Linked DNA regions of Arabidopsis thaliana. Each later gene encodes a partner of the first gene's protein in a complex. Each region holds a gene or a part of one and is shown in the gene's direction. Other genes may lie near its edges.

Region 1 (4,282 bases):
ACTAAACTTCTCAATTTCTATGTTGAAAAAGTGCCTAAGAGTTGAGAGTTGTTAAAGTTTACCCCAGCTTTGGGTTCATGAATAAGGACATTTTCCTTTGTAAAGCCGGTCTCTTCTAAGAAAAACGGAAACGACTTCTTGGAAAAATGCCAACACAATGTCAACAAGTGCAAAAGATATTTGAGTTCAGTGGCTACTTCTGATCCTCTAAGTTCTACACTATCTTTACCACCAAAGACACGATCAACATGTAGAAGTCCCTACGGTTTTAGGTACACAATTACAAAAAGTTCAATTTTGACCACAAGATAATTAGAAAAAAATCCAGAACTTAAGACCGTTAAAACGATGAAGAGATGTTATACCTGCCTCTTGATGAGAAAATTGATCCCAAACGCAAGATCACCAATAGGCCACTTCCCAAGAGTCTCAGAGTAAGTAAAACGAAGAGTCTCAGAAAGAGTAGAAATAGTCTCCAACCAAGTTGCCGGAGCTTGAATAAGCCTATGCGAAACACGGTCAATCCTCAAAGAAGGACGAGAAGCAGAAGCTTCAGAATTCTCATCGTCAACGTCAGATGGACCAGCTATTAATTTCCGATTCAACGTGTAATATAAAAGAGCAGCTGCTCCAGCTGCTGTTGCCATAGTTGCAGTTGCCATGATCAATCTATCCCTAAAATCATCAATGAAACAAATTCGCTCAATCCAAGACGAAACTCAATCTAATAAGAATACAAAATTTAAAGACAAAATCGATTGAAACTACATTGGATGCCACAATTTCAATCTCCAGATGCGTTCTTAAGTATCTCAGACTTATTCCAGAAATCTCCAAAAACATGTAAAGCTGGAAAATTGGATATAATTTCGTACAAAGAACATTCTTTTCACCAATTAACCCCAAAGAATTCGGGATACAAAAAAAAGAAGCCATTAATAGAAAACTCTCACTTTCCTGAAACTTCTCGAATACCACAACAAACCCTACTCCTGATAACTATCGCGTCTTTTAACCGATGCAAATCATAAAATTGAATGTGATTTAGCTTAAAATTGAACAGGATCGGTGAACTATAGAAACAAAACCCTAAATCCTACCCCAAGAATAGCATCGTTAAAACACGAAGTTCTTTGTGAATCAAACCTGGAAAAATAAGACGAAATCGTGACCTTAATTTGAGGGTTTTACAGTGGAGAAGGAAGGTTAAGGTTGCTTTAGCTTATGTACGATATCTCCGGGAAGGGGAAGCTGCTTTCTCTCCGATGATGTTGTTAGCTACAAGATGCTGCAATGCAAAAGTGTGAAAACAGAATTTTTTGTTTTGCTTTAAATAAACTGCGCTACGTTTTTGTGCTAAGCGAACGCCGCGTAGTTTCGCGCCGCCGAGATCTGATGCTTACGTGGGAATATATTATTGGATGACTTACCCATAAAAGCGTTTTAACATAAATCAAGCAGTAAATAATAATAGTGTTAAATCGACTTTTTTGGTCCATAAATTAAAATTTATTCGAAACAGATATTTTATTAGCTTGGAAGATTAGTCTCATTTATTTAAGAAACATTCAGTCACAATAATTATTAGGAAATTTAACATTAAATTGGAAAGTGCTTAAAGTATTAAAGTACAACGTCTTATCTATCGAGTTAAGAAATCGTGGACATTGCTTGAAAATAATAAAAAAGGGACAGTGGACGGATTTGCTCGCTAGTTTTCTCTTCGAATTTTCCACAAACAAATTTTCTCAGCCAAAGTTCGATCGGATCTGGGTTTTATATTTTTTTGAAGAACCCGTGTCCGTCTTCGATCAGGTGTCGAAAGTCTCAATCTTTTTTAATCACTTTATCAATTTAAACCCTTTGGTCAAAACCCTAATTTAGATTTCTCTTTCCGTCTTCACTTTTTTTTTTTCCTGTCAAAGTTCGCGTTCAATAGCCAAATCTTATCTCTTCAGCTGGAATCTGACGAACATTATTATCATCGGTAGTGTTCTATAGAAAGACCGAAAGTTTTCTTCAATTTCAAAGTCAGTGGCGATGTCGTGGGCTGGTCCTGAAGAAATTTATCTTTCAACATCACTCGCTAGTTATCTCGATAGTAAATCCGTCTCTCTTTCTCTCTGTTTCACATATTTGTTGAACCGTATGAATGCATGTAGTTAAAATAATTGGCCGTGATGGCTCTGTACGCATTTGGGAGCTCAATTTTGCAAACAATTCTCTGTTTTTTTGACGTTTGATTTTGACTTCTTATTGATATATAGGCTGTACTATTTTGTGGCTGTATCCAAAGCTTGTCAATTTTGGTGTTGAATTGTCTCAAAGAGACATTCATTGATTAAGATATTGATTATTGAATCAAAGCTTTAGTTTTTTTTTAATTGGGTCAAATCTAACTGTTCATCAGTTATTGTTGTCAAGCTAAATTTTAGCATGCGTGAGAGATTAGATGTGATTGAGGTTGCTGGCTCACTCTTTATTCAACTTACGAAGTATAAACTTTAACCTTTGTTGAAATTTAATTCACTATCGGCTTTTTGATGTTGGTTCTTTGAGTTTAAAAGTCAATGATCTTCTTTTGCTGATGTTTTTGGGCTATGAGTTAGTTCTCAATCTCATTTGGCGTACCGTTTTCTTTTTTAGATATGAATCAATGTGCATCAGTTACTTATGTATGTTGGCTCTGCTCTTGATGATGCAGGAAAACTACTTGTGCTTCTTAGAGATGGTAGAAAGCTAATGGGAACACTCCGTTCCTTTGATCAATTCGGTATTCACTTTTCTTTCCATGTTTCTAGATTTACGATATTGTTGATGAGCGGGAGAGATTTGACTTTTTTTTGTTCGTTGTAAATACACAGCCAATGCGGTTCTAGAAGGTGCGTGTGAGAGGGTAATTGTTGGTGAACAATACTGTGACATTCCTTTAGGCCTCTATGTAATCCGTGGAGAGAATGTTGTTTTGATTGGTGAGCTGGTAAGACTTCTCCTTGTTTGTCTTTTCTTGCTGTGTCACCTCGTGTTTTCCAATTCACTGAGTTTGACCTTAAACTATGTATTAGGACACGGAGAGAGAAGAGCTTCCTCCACATATGATTCGCGTCTCAGAGGCAGAGATTAAAAGGGTAAGACATCGCATAACATGTTCATTTTGATTAGCCAAATTTGATTCATTTGTGATGCTGTGTGCGTGCTGATGATTTGGTTTTCGGGAATCTGTCTGTTGATGCAGGCACAAAAGGTGGAGAGGGAAGCGAGTGAGCTGAGAGGAACAATGAGGAAGAGAATGGAGTTTCTTGACTTTGATTAAACCAGATTGTATCCCCATTCATTATTGGCTTGATGCTCTGCTTTGGCTCGCAAGTTTTATGATGAGCCTTTTTGGTGTGTTGACTTAGGGGATCGACGCAATTCTTGTGTTTCATTTTGGATGAATATGACAATAAATCTGTGTACTTTTGTCTTTGGATCTATTTACCTTTTTAAGAAAAAAATGTTAAGCAATTTCTTTCTCTATTTTGGAACTTTTAAACAAGGAGCTTGCCTATGGCTACTACCAAACGGAACAAAAATGGAGCAAATGAGTAGAGGACGTCGCACATTGCAAAATTTACATGGTACTTATTGGTTCTGTGATCAATCAGGACTTTTATAAATAGAAGACATATGGCACAAACAACAACACACAAATATGTTCACCTGGAGATTATTCCACCGGGCAGGAAACCCGTGAATAAAAATTCAAAGAATGGTTCTATTTCTATGACATCCTAATGTGACTGAAAAACGAAAGAAAGAAGATAGAACTCTCGGGTTTTCGATCTTCTTTTATCGCCTCCTCAAGTGTGGTGGTGTGGTATATCCTTCGAAGAAATCTAGAACGATGGTCTCGATATCTTCAACCGAATATTTCAAATAGTTCTCAGGGTGTCTTCCACTCTCTATATGACCCCTGAACCTTCCAAGAAACGATCTATAAGCAGGGATTAGATGCTCGGATAGCGATATTCGGAGTTCTTCTCTAAGCTGAGCATCTGGAACCGACCATGTGGACTGAGTCCTGTGAACCTCTTCGAACATTGTATTGAATGCCTTAAACCTCTCTCTTAATGCACTTCTTGATACACCTGAGGAGAAACTCCCACTCACATGTAATCCTTCATCTCTCAAACTATTCAGTACTCTGACCCATGTAGCTCTCTGGTAGTTTGTGGCAGCATGTCTAAATATCCCAGTGAGTTTCCTTAAATAATGGTCTCCAATCATCTCTCGTAGTTCT
Region 2 (4,706 bases), on another chromosome or scaffold:
TGTTTGATCTTATGGTGTAGTGATCTGATTGATGATGTTAATGAACAGGAAGTGAACTCATATTTCGAGTTCTTGTTTCATCTAATTGAATCTAGGGGACCTAGTGTTGGATTGAATGTTTCATTGAGTAGATATGATTTGTTCCATGGCCATTTATTCCTTGCCTCAGAATCTGGACGCCTTGGAATATTGTAAGTCTCCTTTGTCTCCTCAACACACACTAGGACTCTTGAAATAGTAATGATGATCATGTTCTGTTACTGACTTCGTTGTGTAAGAATCGAGACGCTTTGATAGGCACTAGAATAGTAGATATAAGGGGGTCTAGACCATTTGGTTAATTGGGAGCATTTAGGCTTTGAGAGTGAAGAGAACTCTCTAGGGTTTGTTCTTGTGTTCTTGAATGTAACCAACAGTTATCAATAAAGGAAGAATGGTTTCTGATTCTTAACACAATTGTTGCAGTGTTTTTAGAAAGGTTGAACGTAAGTAATGAGTTTTGGGGAATATTTATAGAAAGTTACATGGTTGAGCTAGGTTTTGAGTACTGTTGTTGACTAGTATCTGATTGGTGATGGTAGGTTTCATGCTAAAGAGTATCCAGCCTATGACAAGAAAGTGTTTCCTTACAACATGGGATATTGCCAGAGAGGTAATATGGGTTCTTGTCCGTGTGACTGTGAGTTTTCTTGCAATCTCTTGAAACATAGAAATGGTCACAGAAATCCCTTAAATCTTCAGTATTATGATTGTATCTCCTTTTTGTTAGGATCTGACGTGAAATACAATGATTCAATGAACTTGAGGAATATCCTTTGGCTTGCACCATTACCTAGCAACTCTTCTCCAGATTGGGTTGCTCCAGGTATAATATCTGTTTTCATCTCTGAGAGTAATAGAAAAGATCTAAACACTTCATAGTTTCAAGATGATCTTGTCTTTCATTAGTATCGTGGAAAACAATTGTAGTGTTACGTTTGACATCTTCCTTTCCTTTGATTGATCTGTAGGTGTACTTGTGGTTCTTGATGCGCATCCGGATGGAATCATATACCGAGATCTCATCCCTGACTATGTTAAGTTTGTAAGAACAATATACGAAGGTTTGAACAACTCTATACCTTCTCTCATCTCACTCATCAATTTGCTTCATTGTAGATCACATTTGATTACACATACATACACTCAAAGTCTCTTAAAGATTTATGCTCTATTGAAACTTTATGTCTTATCCTTCTCCACCAGATGATTTGGGAACAACCGCAGTTGATGTCAATTACTTGAATGTCGGAGCTCACGAACCTGACTATCAGCTTTTCATGTGCTGAAACAAACCAGTTACAGATTCACAATTACACAGTTGTGTGTAATTGAAACTTTGATTAAGATTTAGTTACTGGAGCTGGTCGAGGTTCAATAACGTTCGAGTTGGTTGATAATTTAGAGAGGTCTGAAGTATTGTCGGTTACAAAATAGCTTTAACAATCACATTGCTGAGGCTTTAAGCTTAATTGTAAAAGTTTAGGATTAGATTTGACATATCACTTGGCTTTGTTTGATTCACACAGTTCGCCTTAGTGATGTAAATTAATTAATTTCGAGAGCATCAATAACATATTAATGATTAGTTATTTTCCACCAGGTAACCATTGCCAACGGCTACAAATACACTTTGGTGTAGACAAAGTATACGAAAAATTAAAACAAAAAGCTCCGATGCCGGGAATCGAACCCGGGTCTCCTGGGTGAAAGCCAGATATCCTAACCGCTGGACGACATCGGATTAGTTGGCTAGATTGATATGTTTAACAATATATACTAAAACAGATAATATTATAAAGTTAAGGGACTCGAGTGCAAAACTCAAAAAAGTTCCCATTGACCTAAAACTAAAAGACCACCGATTCATTAGAAATCCATCCCTCTCACTGTCAAAACCCGAGAAGCAGAAAAAAGCAAAAAACAGATTTCGAAGTTTCGACGCCTCTCTATTCTTCGATCTCTTTCATATTTGAATCGTTCACCTTCTTGCCGATCTTCGGAGTATATTACAAGGTTTCTCCCTTTTCTCTCAGATTTTTTTTAGTAGCTGAATTAGGGTTTTTGTTCCGTTTTCGCTATTGCTTCTTCCGCATCTTATAAAGGGTTTAATGTTATACTTCTCTGATGTCATCAGGTTCTTAACGGATCTCTAAATCTTCTGATTTAAGAAGATGGTAAGTTACTAGACAAACTTAGGGTTTTTTTCCTTCTTTCTTGTTTGCGTTAAAGTTTCAATTTTTATTAACTGAAAGCTGTTGTTTTGATTTTATAGCTTCCTCTATCGCTGCTTAAAACTGCTCAAGGGCATCCTATGGTGAGTAAAATTTCGACCCTTGATTACAATTTTGTTATATATGAAGTGAAGCTGAGTTTAAGTGAGCATTGCATTAGGGATCTAAAGGAACTTCCTTTTACTGTAATTTTGAATCTTGTTTTGTTTTGGTAGCTCGTGGAGCTTAAGAATGGAGAGACATACAATGGGCATTTGGTGAATTGTGATACTTGGATGAACATCCATCTGCGTGAAGTCATATGTACATCAAAGGTTATCTTATGTTTTCATATGTTGATACAAATATACTTTGTTTAGACTTCGTGATGAAATTTTGTGTAGCTGACACTCATATATTTTGCTGCTTGATTACTCTAGGACGGAGATAGATTTTGGAGGATGCCGGAATGTTATATCCGTGGTAACACAATCAAGTACCTTCGAGTTCCGGATGAGGTAATTTTTTTTTGTGTGTGTGTGTATATATCTCTTGCTTGATCTAGTTTTTTCTTTGTTCCCCTCTCTCTGGAATGATGATGCTTAGCCAAATCAGATATGTGCTCCAAGAGGCATTTTTCTGTGGAACCTTGTTCAGCAGATGGTGTGCCTCTTGTTGTAGTGCGTCTTAGACGATATCACAGGGAATGGTTATTGCTGACCAGAATGTTGACCCACTTTTATGGACTTTGCTGTGTTGTGTTTCTGATGCGATTTTTCTCTATTGTTTCTACTTTATTTCATTCCCTCTAAAATCAAATTATATTCACATACCATAAACGATATCTTCATCTAGAAGGACAGTCATATGCTGTTTCTATTTATGTTCTTACTGCTGCAACCTAGATTGAGTTAACTGACTTAAATTGATTTCTTCTCTCTTCAGGTGATTGATAAAGTACAGGAGGAGAAGACACGCACAGGTATAGTATTACTCATGTCTATATTGTACCTTTACTGAGATATGCTTCGAGTTTTCTGAGGTGTTAATATTTTGCCAGAGTAGACATTGAGAATACTTCAGGTGTTAATAACGATGGTTGAATATGTGCAGATAGAAAACCACCAGGTGTTGGACGTGGAAGAGGACGTGGTGTGGATGATGGAGGAGCCAGAGGCAGAGGCAGAGGAACTTCAATGGGGAAGATGGGTGGCAACAGAGGTAAAAAATACACAAACAAAGCTTGTCACAAAACTCTGATTTTACTAGAATACTTCAAATATCTGTGTCTTGCCACAATGGGATTTAAGCTAAAACTCTAATATGTTATGAAAAACAGGAGCAGGTCGCGGCCGTGGTTGATGCAACAAGTTTTAAAGACTCGCTGCCAAATCTGCTAACTTCCCATTGTGGAGAAAACCAAAAGTTACATAAGAAGTTGGTCTGTTGTTGGTTTTCTATTAAGTATGTAAGGGATAGGGAGTGTGTTTTTCGATTCTCCTTGTGATCTTTTCGAAAAATGAAATTTGTCTTTTGCCTTTTTGTGGTATATGTGAAATTCCAATTGTTTTCATTTGCGCTTAAAAATGAATCTTTCAGGTCTTGAATTTATATAATTGTTAGAGAATTTATACAATTAACCAACGACAGGGTTTTTATAAGATCTTTGGTCCATCTTACCCTTTTATTATTTTTCTTTTTTTCCTATCTATTCTTTTTTTCCTCTTTCACCGGATTTTCTCCATCACTCGTCGGCATGACATATAAGATTAGATATGATTTAAAAAACGCATGTATTTCAAAGACAAAACATGCTCTTAAGTCTTTACATTGACTTGTAAATTTTTGTCAAGCTATCTAACAAAATCTCATATTTTTTTTTTGGAACAGATTCATATTTTTGTCAAGATTTCATGTTATATAAACAAATTACATGTCTTTTATCCAATATATCATTAGTATTTCATAAAATAACTATGTTTTAATGTAATAATTATACATATCTGTCAATATTTCACGTTATGTAAGGAGTCATATGTATTTCTTCAAATATCATGAAAATTACATATTTTTCTTCACTGTATTTTTACAATTGAATTTTCCTCTTCTCAAATCTATCGGAAGTCTTATTGTAATATTAGAAATTGATAAAGATATTTTCGTCAATATACACCGTCTAACGTGTGAATCCATAGTTCTTTTCTAACAAAAACTAAACTTATGATTAATATCTTTATTTAATCTCAGAATTTGGCTATCTAGTAATAACAACCTAATTATTATCTGAGTAAATCCCTAGAAAAAACTAGTAGTAATGGAATTTGCATGAGAATATGAGTATTTTGGTCATTTATTTTATTTTTCTCAATGTAAACTTAAATATTTATGGGTAAACAAAAAATAAAATCATAGAAGATGATATAATTAAAGATTTGCGAACGAAAATCTCATAAT

What was found.
Region 2: LSM1B (region 1) and emb1644 share a complex: the UniProt entries of both Arabidopsis thaliana proteins name them as parts of the heptameric LSM1-LSM7 complex.

The regions. Positions count from the first base shown.
Region 1 is NC_003074.8:4,665,677-4,669,958, forward strand, and holds LSM1B (Small nuclear ribonucleoprotein family protein), read left to right. Parts: upstream 1-1,631; 5' UTR 1,632-1,815; exon of another isoform or gene 1,816-1,925; 5' UTR 1,926-2,040; coding exon 2,041-2,101; intron 2,102-2,653; exon of another isoform or gene 2,654-2,673; coding exon of another isoform or gene 2,674-2,704; coding exon 2,705-2,773; intron 2,774-2,864; coding exon 2,865-2,980; intron 2,981-3,065; coding exon 3,066-3,128; intron 3,129-3,235; coding exon 3,236-3,313; 3' UTR 3,314-3,518; downstream 3,519-4,282. Other genes in the region: AT3G14075 (Mono-/di-acylglycerol lipase, N-terminal;Lipase, class 3), read right to left, coding at 63-260, 366-662; EXO70D3 (exocyst subunit exo70 family protein D3), read right to left, coding at 3,832-4,282. UniProt on the Arabidopsis thaliana protein: Component of the cytoplasmic LSM1-LSM7 complex which is involved in mRNA degradation by promoting decapping and leading to accurate 5'-3' mRNA decay.
Region 2 is NC_003076.8:9,813,691-9,818,396, forward strand, and holds emb1644 (Small nuclear ribonucleoprotein family protein), read left to right. Parts: upstream 1-1,809; 5' UTR 1,810-2,055; intron 2,056-2,176; 5' UTR 2,177-2,213; coding exon 2,214-2,216; intron 2,217-2,314; coding exon 2,315-2,356; intron 2,357-2,488; coding exon 2,489-2,587; intron 2,588-2,692; coding exon 2,693-2,770; intron 2,771-2,839; exon of another isoform or gene 2,840-2,977; intron 2,978-3,197; coding exon 3,198-3,234; intron 3,235-3,365; coding exon 3,366-3,473; intron 3,474-3,591; coding exon 3,592-3,614; 3' UTR 3,615-3,928; downstream 3,929-4,706. Other genes in the region: AT5G27710 (T-box protein), read left to right, coding at 49-191, 582-652, 770-865, 1,011-1,103, 1,246-1,328. UniProt on the Arabidopsis thaliana protein: Component of LSM protein complexes, which are involved in RNA processing. Component of the cytoplasmic LSM1-LSM7 complex which is involved in mRNA degradation by promoting decapping and leading to accurate 5'-3' mRNA decay.